Linked DNA regions of Rhinolophus ferrumequinum. The protein of the gene in region 1 interacts with the protein of each later gene in a biochemical or structural test. Links are inferred from orthologs where the notes say so. Each region holds a gene or a part of one and is shown on either strand. Other genes may lie near its edges.

Evidence for each region.
Region 2: the proteins of LRRK1 (region 1) and BAG2 form a complex in vitro, tested with the Homo sapiens proteins (2 studies listed by BioGRID and IntAct, with this or other methods). The link is inferred for Rhinolophus ferrumequinum from reciprocal best matches to the Homo sapiens genes LRRK1 and BAG2.

What each region holds. Positions count from the first base shown.
Region 1 is NC_046311.1:12,590,831-12,598,235, forward strand, and holds the start of LRRK1 (leucine-rich repeat serine/threonine-protein kinase 1), read left to right. Parts: upstream 1-4,371; 5' UTR 4,372-4,471; coding exon 4,472-4,493; intron 4,494-7,405.
Region 2 is NC_046286.1:24,054,561-24,062,523, reverse strand, and holds the start of BAG2 (BAG family molecular chaperone regulator 2), read right to left. Parts: upstream 3,032-7,963; 5' UTR 2,876-3,031; coding exon 2,763-2,875; intron 769-2,762; exon of another isoform or gene 1-768. Other genes in the region: E3 SUMO-protein ligase ZNF451, read right to left, coding at 6,824-6,870. UniProt on the Homo sapiens protein: Co-chaperone for HSP70 and HSC70 chaperone proteins. Acts as a nucleotide-exchange factor (NEF) promoting the release of ADP from the HSP70 and HSC70 proteins thereby triggering client/substrate protein release.

The DNA of each region.
Region 1 (7,405 bases):
AGGAAAGGTGGGCTCTTTCCGCAGACATTTGACAGCTGAATGTGGCAGGTCAACCTTGCTGAAGAAACAAACTGCATTTCTGACTTTCCTGGCATATTCTCTTCTGGAGTCCTTACATCTCCTGGACGTGAACGATTTTTATTTTCCTCTCGCACTCCTGTTTCGTTGACCAATAGGTTGGGTGTGAAGTTGCAGTCCTGCCTGGGGATGGAACTGTTGACAACTTCTGTGCTCCCTTTTCAACCAGGTCCATCCCCGGGACAGTTAAGAGGCTCAGGGCGTTGTCAACAGGAAGTGGTATTTGAAGTATCCAGCAGTCGCTTAAAAATGCTCTGCTGACTCTGACTCCGGTAAGAATTTGGGGAAAACTCCGTGCGTGTTCTGGAAACAGGGCCCTGTGCCTGCACCCCTCCCACTGTTTAGTGGGAAAGCAATAGCCCAAAGTTAAAAAAAAAAGAAAAGAAAAAAAAGGAAAAAGAAAGAAAGGAAGGAAAGCAGAATTGGGATGACCCTATGTCTTTGGGGACTAAATCTTGACATTGACCATGGGACTCAGCTGACATCCAAAAATACTGCCTTTGGAATATGACTGAATCACCAGCCCATAGAGCTTATCTAAATCTATGTCGCGGGCTACCTTAACCAAGGCACTTTCTGAGGCAGAAAGCGTCTCGAGTGTCACAGTCCCAGCTAAGGAACCAGCGCTCTGACACCACAGCAGCATAACAAATCCTAGGATAATTAAGTCCTGCAGTTTACAAACCAGAGCTGTAATCAGCTTTTACAAATTACGCATTTCTGCCACTTGCATTTTAATGATTTATGTAGTTTTCCTTTACTTCAGTCGGGTTATCCATTTTAGATTAGGAAACCATGCACACCTGGAAAGCCCTGGTTTGTTAAAGTCCTATTTTGATGTTAATTCATGATTAATTAACAAATAACACTTGGATTCTATGGAGGAATTGGGTCTCCCATCAAAGTTGTCTGTTACTGCACTAAACAAGTTGGGAATTTTCCATTTCCATTTTGTGTATCCAACTCCTGTGCAATTCCAAGATTTAACTTGGAAAATGGAAAGTGTTCCCATACAGCTTTAAAAAAAGCAAAACCAAATTTGAACTGTGTTCTGCGGATGCTTTGACAATTCCGAACGAGTACTTTTCGAATGGTGCTTATGTTTGAGAATGAAATTGCGGGGGGCCAGAATAAAATGAAGGTCTATGTCAAAACCAGTGTGTGTATGAAGAAAGTCGTATATGAAATGGGGTCGTCATTGTCAGAAATATGCAATATGCCATTCCTCTTTTCCTCTACGTCAGTTAACGCTTATCACTTATACTGTCAGTAACTTGTTAAATCAGGATTTGACTCATACACTGAATTTTCAGGATTTTATCTCAAGTAATTATAGACACTAATCTCGATAGTAATACATTAGAGGGTTCTTATTCTTTCATGTACGATAATGCCTTTAATATGAAATGCTACATTATTTATAATTGGTATAGATAATGTATCTTTTTATAGTTGTAAGTAAACAGAGGTGGTATATTTAACCTTCTGTAATATACTGTGTTTAGAAATGGAAATCTATATAGTATTAGATTTCACTTCTTTGAAGGTTTACTCCTGTGGTATGGCTTAAAAATCGATTGGCCTGGGAATTCTGATCCTAACTGCAGATTGTGTTAACAATGTGATGATAAAATAAATTGGATATTTGACAAACATCATATTTTTTTCATTTAAGGACTAAACCCTTTTCAGTTCTGTGGCTGATCTTTCTCTTTCTTAGACCTTCTGTTCAAAATGGCTTGTGAAAAGCAGTATCAATACTTAAGAATAAAATCACATTTGCTCATTTGGTCAGGTCTAGCGTTTACCATGAATGTGACGCCGACTTCTATGGCCTTGGGGGTTAACCAGGCAGTGAGCTCGGCCTCAGAGGCTCTGCGTCGTAGCTGGCAACGTTTAAACTGTCGTCTAAGTTGCTGGAATCTCTTGTTGTCATTAAGTGATGACGATGTGTGATGTGCAAAGTGGTGGAGAAGACTGAATGGGATTCAAAGAAAACACTACGTTCCGTAACTGTGGATGAGGGCGTAATTTACCTAAATTTCTAAGGCTTCGAACCGAGATGCCTCCATCACCGAGTCGAGAGCTGACCCTGCAGCGGGATCAAGAACATTCCCTGTATGTGGTCAGGTCTACCAAGTTCAACCTGTGCCTTTGATGTTGAGATTCCAGGTCACTTTGGCCATGCAGTGGCAAGGCACCACCCTTTAAGAGGAAACTTAAGAGGGCCTTGGATCCGATCCCTCATGATGTATGCATGTATGAATGCACTGATGTATTTAGAAAACTTCCATTTCTCAATTAAATGGGAACAGAAAGTTCTAGGGGAACGACCTTTTCCTTCATTTGGTTTACCAAAACATGACTCTCTGAAGGGAACTATTCTGGGGACATGTGTGTGTGACTTCGTCCACTTGTGTGCCGGTGGGGGGTGGGACCCAGAAGGTTCTCTGAAAGTGGATGGACACTTTGCAGTAAATACCCTAGCTTTTCCTGATGGGAGACGAGAGCCTTTTTAATATCCTTGTTCCTCGCATGTGGCTAACGAGCTTGAAGGTGAAAAATGAGGGGTGTTTTAAAGAAGCATCCAAGGAGGAATGTCTGAGGAAACTGAGTACACAGTTGAAGAAAGATGATGAGAAGACATGGGGTAAGAAGGAGGCGGGCAGTTAGCCACTGTGCTTTCAGAAGGCAGAAATGTTGGGTCATGGAGGTGGCCTCCAGGTGACCCCACCTTAGAAGCAGTCATTCCCATATGAGATGCTGAGAATCCTGGTAGGATGTGGAGCAAAAGGTAGCGGACCCTGGGTCAGCGGCGTTCAAGAAGAAACTGACCTGTGACAACCCTCCCACGCAAAACTGTGACTGACTCATGCCTAAGAAACAGAATTAAATGCTAAGACAGAGCCAGCTCGAAAGAGTCCACCCGTGTGTCTGATGTCCCGGCCGTTTTCTACATTGGAGACATTCCTGGCCTATTCCCAAGCTCATTTAAAAGGGAAGTTTGAGTTGCCCCCTCTGCAGGGGCCACGTCCTCTCCTGTCTGCCCTGGCACTGGGCGTGCGCTTCCTCACAGCGCCGCTAGATGGCGGGGCTGCGCGCCCTGGAGGCGCAGCACCACCGTGGCCAAGCTCCCTCAGCCTGCGGGCGCCGCCACGCCCTTCAAATTATTAGGGACACTTCCGTAGCAATCTCACTGCTGCCTTTTGCATATTGGAATTAGGACCGCAGTGGTGAGAACAGCGTTGCAAAACTGCATGCACCATTTGGAAGGGCGTCCTGTAGCAGGGGAGCTGGAGGGGGGGCCTCGTGGGAGCAAAGCAACGCTGCCCGGTGGTCCCCTTGCCCTCCGGGGCCCAATGAACAGCTCCAAGTGGCGACTGCCGGGCGTGTCCGCGAGGTGCAGGCCCGGATTTTGTGAAATGGCAATGTGGGTGGTGGCCATTTGTCTCTGTGCCTTGTGCTAAATCCTGGGAATATTCCAGTCACAATATTGCATGAGAGGAGCCTAGGGTGCGGGTCCCGCCAGGGTGCAGAACCTTCTGCTTTGTTCCATGAAGGCTTCTCTTGATCCCATGGGCTCGTGGAGCTGAGTCGGATGCTGGCCTGCTGTGGACGTGCTTCTCTATGATCTGCGTTTCGATAATGGCCTCCATGGTGTGATCATATATTTATATTAGGTTGAAACATAATGAATTGCCAACATCTTTTATCTACATCCCCGCCCCCCAGCAAAACCCCAATTGAAAATGTTTCACCAAATAGTGACCTATTGACATATACACCCAGAATTAAGTTGGTAAATTCATGCGGTGGCAGGGGTGCCCTTTGCAAATATTAAAGCTTTAAAAATCCATATTTCTATACTGCCTTATAAAGAGTTGAACACAAATGAATGTTCCCTCTCTTTTTAATATTTACCGACAAAGTATATGGCCAACCACACGCAAGCCAGACGTGAATCCGCGTATTTTGCGGCTGGGCAAGGCAGAGGGACAGCGTAAACTGGGTTGAGCCCAGAACCCACCCATGTTATCGCCGCGTGTGTCATGCGTGGAGGGAGCAAGGTACCCAAACCTGGAGGGGACGTCACGCTAGAAGGACCCGTGGGCCCTGTCATCTTCTGGGCATGAGCGGTAAATTGGATCGCCTGCGGTTTCCGAGCAGGGAAACTGAGGCGGGACTCCTCCGGCGGGTTCCGGGAGCACCAGCTGCAGCCCATCCTCGCCCTGCGCGCTCTTCGCGCCGCCCGCCCTCCACGCCCGCTGGCGGCCGCAGGATTGAGGAAGTGCGTCTGGGCCCGGCCCGGCCCCGGCGCGCGCGGCCGGAGGCTCCGGGGGCGGAGGGCAGTGGCACGGCCAGGCCCCGGCCCGCTGGAGAGCGCGGGGCCTGCATGGCCAGCCCCGCCGCCGCAGGTAAGCGCTGTCCCGCCTCGCGCCCGGCGCCCCGTCCCGCCCGGGAATCCGGCTGCAGCCCGCGGCCGGTCCGCGTGGAGCCCTGGGCCCCGCAGCTCAGGCCCGCGCCCCGGCGGCGGCCGCGTGCTTTGGCCAGGGTGGCCCTTGCCCAGGGGCGACCGAGGGCTCCGGGCGACCCCAGCCTCACGGTGCGGCTGTCTCCCGCCGCGCTGCGACCCCAGGCAGCCCGCGGGGTGGGGGTGTGCGGGACCCCGGAGCGGAACCCGAAACCTCGCCCTGGACGGTGCCGGGGCGGGGGGAGCGGAGGCAAGAGACAAAAGTAGGAAAACACACCAGGGTGTCTACCGGTCTGCGCAGCCTCTGCTGCAAACCCCTTGCTTCAACTTGGAGCGGGCCGTGGGGAGCGCGCGTGTGCAAGTGCGTGAGTGTGAGTGCATGTGTGTTGGGAAGGACCGCCCGGCGTCTCTCTCTGCCCGGGGCGGGCCTGGCGATGCGGGGGGTGGGGGGGCCGAGCTCGCCGTCACCCTCCTCGAAGTCTGAGGTTTGCTTCCAGCCCAAGCAAGGGTCTGGCCAATACAAACCGGCGTCTCAATGGCGGTCTCTGTGGGCGACTTCCCTGGCAGGCGCGGGGAGGTGAGTGCGGTCCGGGGCAGGGGGATCCTGGGGGGCAGGGGGGTCCTGGGGGGCAGAGGGAGATAGTGATGGAGCATTTGAGGCCCGCTCAACCTGCCCCTTCACAGTTCGAGGCCAGGAAGTTTCCCTCCCACAAAAGCATCCCCATGCAGGAGTGGGATGTAAGGAAACAGGAGCCTGGAGTTGTTTTCACTGAGCCGCTCACCAAATACGTTCTTTTTAGCATTTGCCACTCACTCATATTGTATGAAAATTCTCTGGACATTATAAAGGGACAACTAGAATATGCACAGTTTTGGGCAACGTTAACATTCAGTAGTTTTTTGTGATTTGACTTGTTTATCTTTGCATATGTCCAGACAGAATAAAACAATTAGATTAAAAGTACACACACCTCACACCTAATTTTGTGCCTGAAGATTTTGGGGTCTTCCAAACCTTTCCCACCCGCAGGCTTTTTTCATAGCTCAGGGAGTGGTCCCATCTACAAAGGACGAATTAGCCTCCATTCCATTCACTCATCCCTTGATTCAGTCTGTTAGCAAGTCCTGTTGTGTTTCCCTCTAAAATGTGTCCTGTCTGTCCCCTTCTTTCTGTACTTTCTATACTGTTACAGGCCTCCCTTCATTTTCTGTTTGGCAGCAAGTGATATTTTTTTTATTTAAAAAAAAAATTTTTAATATCACATGAAGGAAAGACTTTATCGATGTCTAAAAAAATAGACAATATGACAAGTTACCATAAAAAAGTGTTTCCTGATACATAAGGAAATTCAGTATTATTCTAGCTGAGGATCTGAACTGAGAAAATATATTTGAGCACAGCTTGTGAAATTTAAGACTTTTTTTTTTTTCCGTGATCAGAGGGTATCACTGAACTCACAACCAACTTGCCAGTTCAGTATGCAGTTCGGATGGGAGACTTCTCTGTACGGCAGTCAGTCTTATTCTTGTAGTTGTCAAACAGGCAAACAGGTTTGTCCCCACTTTGTAGTAAGTTAATCTTCCTGTTAGCAAAAGAGGTCACCAGCCCCCATGGGCTAAAGGGACTGGAGTCACAGGATGGGGATTTGCTCTTAATACTTTTTTATTTTGATGTTTGGAACTCTTGATGGAACATTCCAGAGCAAGATGTTCAGGACCTGCTGTGCCCAAGGGGCATTTTTTTTTAACAGGTAAACCACAGAGTGTCATTTGTCTGCTTGGAACCCCTCAATCACTTCTCCTCGTGAGTGGCATGAAATCCAGGAGACCTTCCCCTCACACCCCCGAGTAGATCTGGCCTCTGCCATCTCAGACCACCTGGCCATTGTCCCCAGCCAGCCTGGCCCGTCTCGCTCTCCAGCACGTGGCCTCTGCAGTGCTGCCCCATGGCCAGCCACCCTCTAAACCCAGCGTCTCTCTCACATTCCTGTCTCTGTGTCCTACTTTATCTCCTCCGCTTCTCCTTTAGTTACCTGGAAGTCTCCACTGGAGCTCCAGGGGTCAGAGACCCTTCCTGTCTGCCTACCTTGCTCACTGCCACATTGTCACCTCCAGAACCATCCAGGAGGTGCCAGCCTCATACTGGCACATTGACCAGTGGTGAACGGACAGCCTTCACTTGATTGTGGTTTCATAGTCATGAAGGGCTTCTGTCCCCAAACCCTTGGGTGCTCATCTAGGATTGGGATGGACCCATTTCTCTGGTCTGCAGCTCCATGGTATTTGGATGTCCTCAAATCCACTGAACACACTTGGTAGGCAAGCTGGGATTGGTCAAGGGATGTTGGTGCCAAAGGGACATCTAGGGCCGTGGGCCAACTGTCTCCACCAGGCTTTTGATTCAAAACGAGAGAGGTGATGTGAGCATTTCCAACATGCTTCACTTGCAAATATCTTCCAATTCCTTGGTACAGGCAATTCTTTCCAAGCCTCCTGAAAAGACAGGTGACCAGCTCCAGAATCTCCTGTTTCTTCCCTGCCAGAAACTTTATTGCAAATACTTATTTAACTACCCTCCCCACCAGCTGTAAGTTTTATGAACTCACAAAGTTCACTCTTTATGGAAAGGGCCCAATGAAAACATTTGTAGAATAAAATGTCAGGTTCCTTTTTTTCTCTTTCATCAAGTATTTGCATTTATTCATTAGAATAGTTATAAAGCGTTGGCAGAAGAAAATTGGTGAGGTTTTAAAAGTTGTTAAAATAATGATTATTGCAGAAAACCTCTTGAAGTCCTCTTTAGGATGTATATACCACAAAGAAAAGAAAACAGGTAACTTACAAACCATGTTTTGT
Region 2 (7,963 bases), on another chromosome or scaffold:
ACATCATTCAGAATTGGTTAATGAAAATCAGGAGATCTAAAGGAATCACCTTTTTAGCAGGAATCAAAACAGACTAGTGTTATGGTAATATGTTAGAAAACAAATGGAATTTCTTTAACAATTTGTAGACTGCTGCCAAACATCTTAAAGCATTTTAAACATCATGTACACCTGTTCAAACTCAATGACATAATGCATTTAGCATAATTCTGTTTTCAGTTTCATACAGAAAAAGTTTCTACCAAAATTGACAAAATTAGTACTGAAAAGGAACTATAAATGCAAGGTTCTAAGTATAAACTACAGTGGTACCTCAGTTTTCAAACGTAATCCACGAGTTCTGAAATGTTCGCAAACAGCCGACAGCTAGGCGCCTCAAGATCTTGCACTCAGCGGAAGCCGTGTGACATATTCGACTTCTGAGTTGTGATCGAAAATCGAAGCATTTACTTCCGGGTTTACAGCGTTCATAAACCAAACTGTTCGTCAACGGAGACGTTGGAAAATCGAGGTACCAATGTACTTAATACACTGCTTTATTAATCATCTTTAATATGAAATTAACAGTTTTCTAGTTTTTAACAATGTAGAGCTCTGTGACACTGTCCCTTACTCTAGTTTTCAATACTGTAGTTCTCTGTTACATTATCCACGTGGTTTCAAATAAACTTTAGTGGATGGGCATTCGCATTTTCTCTATTTTTACTTACTTTCTGAAACAGTTCCTTAGTTTTTCGGTTAATATTATTAATACTTACTTTTTTTTAATTAAAGTTTATTGGGGTGACAATTGTTAGTCAAGTTACATAGGTTTCAGGTGTACAATTCTGTAATACATCATCTATACATCCCATTGTGCATTCACCACCCAGAGTCAGTTCTCCTTCCATCACCATATATTTGATCCCTTTTACCCTCATCTACCACACCTTTCCTTCAATATTACTTAAAGAAAGCAAAGCTTACAAAAGTTTAAAATTACGAGAAAAGTCCTTAAAATGAACATATTAATCAGTCTTTCCTCCTCAGCTCAAGGGTTAAAAACGTTATATTTTAATGACCTGTACAGAGTCATCAGAATTTACTTTATATTAATCAACATTAAAATATAATAATACTCAAAACCAGAGGCTTTTAGAGATGAAAACTTGACTGCATTTGTACCTATCACACACAGAAATTATTCCAGTCTGAGGACAATGACTCAGCTTGAAGACGGAGGGGCAACACCCTCACTGCTTTAAAGAAAAATACTTTCTGATTAGGGGAGAGAGAGACACCTGATATGGTTGAGAACATGCCCTCAAAGTTCTAAAGACCTGGGGACATGCGTGTGTTGCTTGTTATGCTTTTATATAAAAATAAACATTCTTCAGAAGGACAATACATAGCTGAGGGCACTGATCTCTAGTTTTGCTCCACTTTCTCTGGGGGGGGGGGTGGGAGTTGATGTAAAAATATTAATGTTAAAAGTAATGGGGAAACATTACTTTTGTCTCATTCCATTTGTCTCTTTGAGCAGAATCCAGAATGTGGTTTTGGCTCATGTTTGTCTAACAGCTGCCATCCATGAAATCATTGTGGGTGGAGTTTCTCATATTCTCACTCCTTTCTTGTGGTAGTAATAATAATAAGTGCCTCATTTGCTAAGATATACTGTGGTTGTTAATACACTTCCTTGGAAAATAGACACCTCTTCTTGCTTTGGTATATTAATCGATGGAGATACAGACAGTGCAATGCTTCTTAAAATTTCTGGCTCACATACTCCTATACTCACCCAGAACCTGGAGAAAATTATGAAAGAAAATTCTGTGTAGTTTCTGGGAGTTGTGGGTGCGTTCATAAGATTTTCATTTAACTACATCTGCACACAATTTACACAGTAACTTTAGTGACACAAAAGTTTATAGGAAGTACATAAAAGTTTTTCATACACTGTTAAAGGAAAAAAAGTACTTCCAAAATTTAACATAAATTATTTAGAAATTCTATACAAGCCTACCACAATGTTAATCATTTACTAAAATCTTAATCAGTTAAGAGGGAATAACTGTGACTATCTTATGCTTTCAGGCCAATGTCTAGCACTTTCAAGATGTCAGCACAGTGTCTACTATGGAAGGAGACTAAAGTTAGTGCTGAATACAGTATGTGGGGTTATGGGGAAAAGGGAAGCTGCGGTGTCTTTATTCCACAAAGTACATAGCTATCCTTCACCCAGCAGCCCATTTGTCCTTCTTCTCTCTAATCCCTACTATCAGATGGATTCCTGCATTTTTACACTTTTTTTTTTTGCTCTGAAGTGTTCTGGAGCAAAGAACTGATCAGTCACATAGGGGACCGCTAAACTACTGCTTCTCTTAAAAATGCATAATAGGAAAGTAAGTTAAAAACATTTGGGAAGACCGTATACCGGCACACAGAAGGTTCTAGAAGTTCTGTAGACTCGGAGTGTCACTGTCCCTAATCTCAAATGACGTCACTGAACTTTTATCTTTCCTTATTTTTCTCCGCTCCCAAACGTTCAGGTCTGTCAAGGAACATGTGGCCGCCAATAACGCGCTCACAGATTTTGCTTAAGTCGAATGCGTTTCCTCTCAAGCGAGGAAAGGAAAATCCACCATGAAAACAAAACTGCACCATCTCCATAGAAAACAAGTCCCAAGCAAGCAGCTCCCCTTGCTGCAGCCTGCCCGGGGGCTGTGCCCGGGCCGCCCCGCCGCGCACGGCCCCGGCCAGCGAACCCGCCGCCGCCTCACCTGAGCTCCAGCTGGTCCAGGCTCTCCAGCAGGCGGCTCGAGCGGTCGGCCATGGAGGAGGAGCGGCAGAAGCGCCCCTCGTTGGCTTTCGCGTTGATCTTCGCTTGAGCCATCTGAGCCTCTGAGGCGGGGCGGTCGAGAGGTCACCGGCCTCTCCGGTGGCTGGGAGTGGAGAGCTCCCGCGGCCGCAGGCGTCGCCGTCACCGCGCGGGGCGCCCGCCTCCCTCTGACGCCCGCGGGGGGCGGCCCGACAGGACGCCAATACCGCCGCTGCCGCGTGGCCAAACAAGGACAGGCGCGCCGCGCGCCCGCGGGGCTCGGGGGCTGCAGAGCCCGCTAGGGGCAGCTGCCGCGGCTGCGGGAGGGCACTAGCTGTCACCGGGGCTCGAGGATGGGCCCTTAGGGTTAGGGGGCCTGAGGAGCAAAACCAGGCGGCCTCTGAGATACCTGGAAGGACGAACGCACCAGGCGGAGGCCCTACCGTGATCCGCGCGGGTCCTTCTCTGCGGACCCTGGAACCCAAACCGATGCGGAGAAGCACAAAACGCCCCGCCCCCATCCCCGCCACCCCTACCTCCGTGAGGCGTCGATTCTCTGTGCAGCCCCCGCCAAACCACCTCCCTACACGCTGAGGGACCTAACGGTAAGCTGTGGATGTGTTACTCGGTGATGGCTTCGCTTAATTTCTCCCAGCCCCCGTAATTCACAGCAAACACCAAAAACGTTAAGTCCATGGATATGTGGAGAAAAGGTCCCTTTGTGAAAAGCCATTTAGTACAGTTCCTCGTCAGTCCATACTTGCTTGACCTGCCCTGTTACCACTTTCCAGAAATGAGAATGATAGCCTGATAACACCACTTAAGGTATAAGGGAAAAAAGAAAAAGTGACCCCATCTTTCTCTTTCCAGCTGGATGTAGGAAGCAAGGGAATTTATAATAATACTTCATTTCTACCCATTCTAACAAAGGAATTTTTAATGAGTTTTTTTCCTATTAAAAATGATTTCGGTTGGAATTTGGGTGAAATAATTGGTATGAAGGCCATTTCACACCCAATTTATGTAAATCTGTCAAGAATGAAAAGATGCAATAGATCACTAGGTCAGATATAAAGGTCAGTAAAAGTGGGGTAGAGCTGGGAGTACAAAGATTTATATACTTAAAACCGGTGATTTGCTCCCATCTCATAGCTATACTTCATATTGTGAGGATGAAAATGAACAAGGAACATAAAATGATACATAACAGTTTAAAGCTGAATCACAACCTTTAATCTGAGATCAAAGCCATTTAAATACTTGAACAGAGGTGAGGCCCTTCAATCTGGATCCCAATTCCCTCTAAACTCAATCTAAACACTAATACACTATTGGTGTAGGGGATTACTTGACCTCATTAAATATATTTTGTCATATCATGACACATACTTGGAATCTGAAGACATTTTGTGGTTTAAAAGTCTATCAAGTAATTTTAGAATCATCCTGGACTCTTTTTTCCCCTCATATACTAGACCCAATCCGTAAGTAAATCCCGTCAGCTCTACCTTCAATTCAGATTGTGTCCAAATTCGTCCCCGCAATTCCACTGCCACCACTCTGGTCCCAGCCACCATCAATTCTCACCTGGATCGTACTGCAATATCCTCCTGTCTGGTCTTCCTGCATTTACTCTTGCCTCTCATATATATTCTCAATACAGTTAACTACCGTAATCCTTTGAAATAAGGCAGATCACACCACTTATTCTCAGAAACCTTCAATGGCTCATTTCAGAGTAAAAGCCAAGGACCACAGAAAGGCCTCAGCAACTTCACCTATTACTCTCTTAGCTCATACTAGCATTCCTGCTTTTTCATGGGTATATCAAGCTGACCTCTAGACCTTATCACCCTCCATCTGGCACTTTTTTCCTCATACATATTTGCTCACTCAGGTCTTTGCTCAAGTTCACCTGGTCAGGATCCTTCCTGACCACCCTATTAAAAATAGCAAGCCCTCTGCCCCCACACTTTTCTTCCCTTCCCCATTTTCCTTCATGACATATCAACGATTGGATACACTTACTTATTATCTATGATAACACTATCCAAACTCCTCTCTCCCAAAGTGTGCTCCATAGCAGAGCAATGAGGACTTTGTTTTGCTCACTGGTGTATCTCAAGTGCTTAGAGCAGTCACTGGCACATGGTAAGTACTCAATAAATATTTTGAGTGCGTGAATGAGTGAATAAATGAATGATGTACGGAAAAGATAGGATCTTTGTCGATGTTCGAGACATTTACTTGGGTAATTTAGTAATCCATATAACTTTAATGTCACCCATTGATTACATCTCTTCCTTGTATCTTAATTAAATTCAAATTATGAAGTAATTTAAAAATGATTTTTAATTACTTAACAAGTAGAAACACAATCAGTGACAATTATTAATTAAAACAACCCAATTACCTTTTTTTTTTAAGGGTCATGATGAAAAGATTCAGTTACTCTCTACCAGCAAAAGCTTCTTAATAGAGCTCAGTATATATCACATATGTATGTGGCACCTCTGGCAGAGAAGTATTGGTTCCTCTCCGCCATGTCTGTTTAATCACATTTCTTTCTGGAATGTCCTTTCTCCTCACTATTGAGCAAGCTCCTGTGGATGTCTTTAATGTCTGACTCAGTGACTACCTCTTAAAGCCCTGCTTGATCAGTTTAACATACAAATTAAAAGCACAATGTGGTCATTTTGGGAAAATAATTGGTGAATTCTCACTCTACAATGTCAACTTAAAAAAAATGCAAGCAGGTACATTGACCTGACATCTTAAGAAACAAAAACACAAACTGATTTCTAATGTGGATTGAAAAGACTATACTAATAAAAAAAACAGCAATGCTATTTCACAATAAAACATGTAACTGCAGAGAAAGAACAAAATTCTAGTCATGATTCTTTTCTTAAAAAAAATTATATTTATAGAAAATTTTAAGTTTGTTAATTACTATTCAAAATTTTTAGGGATGACATTTCTGGTCAATAACATGAAGCATATACACAAATATAGTATGACAAGCCCTTCTTAGTGTTCTAATTATGTAATATTTTATTTTTCACAATGGGGCCTCAACATTTAAAAATTAAATATGTAACACCAAATATAGAAACCTGACAAACAACTTAATGAATAACTAAAATGAAGATACTTTTATATGAAATAAAAATTTTAAAGGGTTAAAGAAGATTATTCCTGAGTAAGACTTGAACATTATTTTTTAAAGATTATGTTTACACAAATATATAAAAAGGACTGATTATTAAAAATAAGTTTAATTCTATGCAAATATTTTGACACCATTCCCTTTAAACAGTAGGTAAATACAAGTCACATAAAAGTCTAAGCAGGTAAAAGGAATAGAAAAGATTTCTTTATACTTATATTAAAGAAATTAGGGTGTTCTTTTTTATTCTAGCAATGTGCAGCTCTAATTAAAGCAGGGAAAAACATCGGAGTGAAATCCACAAAGAACATTGCTGGTAAAACTTTTAATCTATTTCTATGATCAGTTACCATTACTCTCTTCTAATAATCACAAAGATCTCAAAGGTATTCTATATATTAGTATCATATGAGAAGTAGAATTTAAGAAAATCTAAGCTTTGAAGGCTTTATTTATATTCATTTTCATTCCTAAAAAAAATAAACTAGAATCATCTGTACAGTACAAATAAAGAACTAATGCTATTTGGGAAACAAACAATAGTTGACAGCTTTTGTATTTTTTAATTCTTTTAACTTACATATATGAATTTAAAGTTGACTGGTAAAGTAGTACCTATATTAGAATACATGATTTACATTTGCATTGACATATATTCTATTCCTCTGTACATATTCTCAAAACAGCACAAAAATACAAAGCAAATATCAAAATTTGAACATGAAAAAGCAAAAAAAGCATGTTTTCAAACACATCTGTACTAGTAGAATTCTGGCCTCCTTTAGAAAACAAACTCGAGTTCATTATCCTGAGTCTCTTCAAGGCTACTTGATGTTGTGTGGTAATATCTTTAATTACATTTCCTCAAGGCTTCTTCTAATAGCTTCTTCTAATTCCACATCTGCATTAAAAAACAGAATTTTAATACTTAGGGCAGAAAACTAAGAAATGTACTTTATGTAAGTCTCATCAATTACATGTCTTTTCAAAAAGCAAAGGAAAATCAAAATGGAGAAACAGGATAACTTGGCAGTTTCTCCATAATAAAATTTGAATATTTCAAAACAAGGGAATCTGGATATATAACCTTAGACTGAATTATAACATATATGAACATAATGTGCTAAGGAACTTGCGAGTTATTTCCATTTAGGAATGTAGAAAGTCAACAAACTTCTAGAATCACTGATAGGTAATCACTAAATTCAACATTAAAAAAAACCTATGCACTTATTTCCAAAAAGACTTCAGGTAATGCACATAAAACTTTAAAAACAGAAACAGAAAAGCAAAACCATGAAAATGCAAAATCTCACAGGCTATTAAAATTTTAGTTTTAAGCTTTCTAGCATCTAAGGCAAAGATTGAAACTCATGGCTATATAATATCTTCTGAGAAGCATGTATTATATACACATACGCATTCATTTAACAAATATTTATTGAATGCCCACTGTATATCAGGCACAGAAATACAATAGTGAACATGACATTCTTGGGTTCACGTCTTTCTCCATTTCCTCTCTAAGAATGATACTGAAGCCCAGCAGGTCATGGAATTAAGTTCAATTTCTTGGCCTTCACCAGCTTCTTACACCAGATTTATCTCATCCCATTTAGTCTACAGTCTCTCAGAGCCTACTTAGTTCATAGGACCAGTGATCCCTCTACGATGCAATTGTACCTTCCTATGAGCTGGGGCACTGGTGTTATGTTGTCTGTAATCTAAAATACTACAACCTAGTATACACTGTGTTTTAAGTTAAAGCTAGATTCTAGGGCTGTGAATTGTCCAAGGATGAATTCAAAGGGATGAAGTACAAAGAAAACACAAGACACTCTTAGCAAAGAATAAGGTGACAAGATGAAAAAGTATTATAAAGTTACAGTCATTAAGAGTATGGCACGAGTGCAAGAATAGATGAATAGACCTAAGGAACAGCATAGAAATCTCAGAAACAGACCCATGCATATGTGGAAACTTGATTTAGGTCA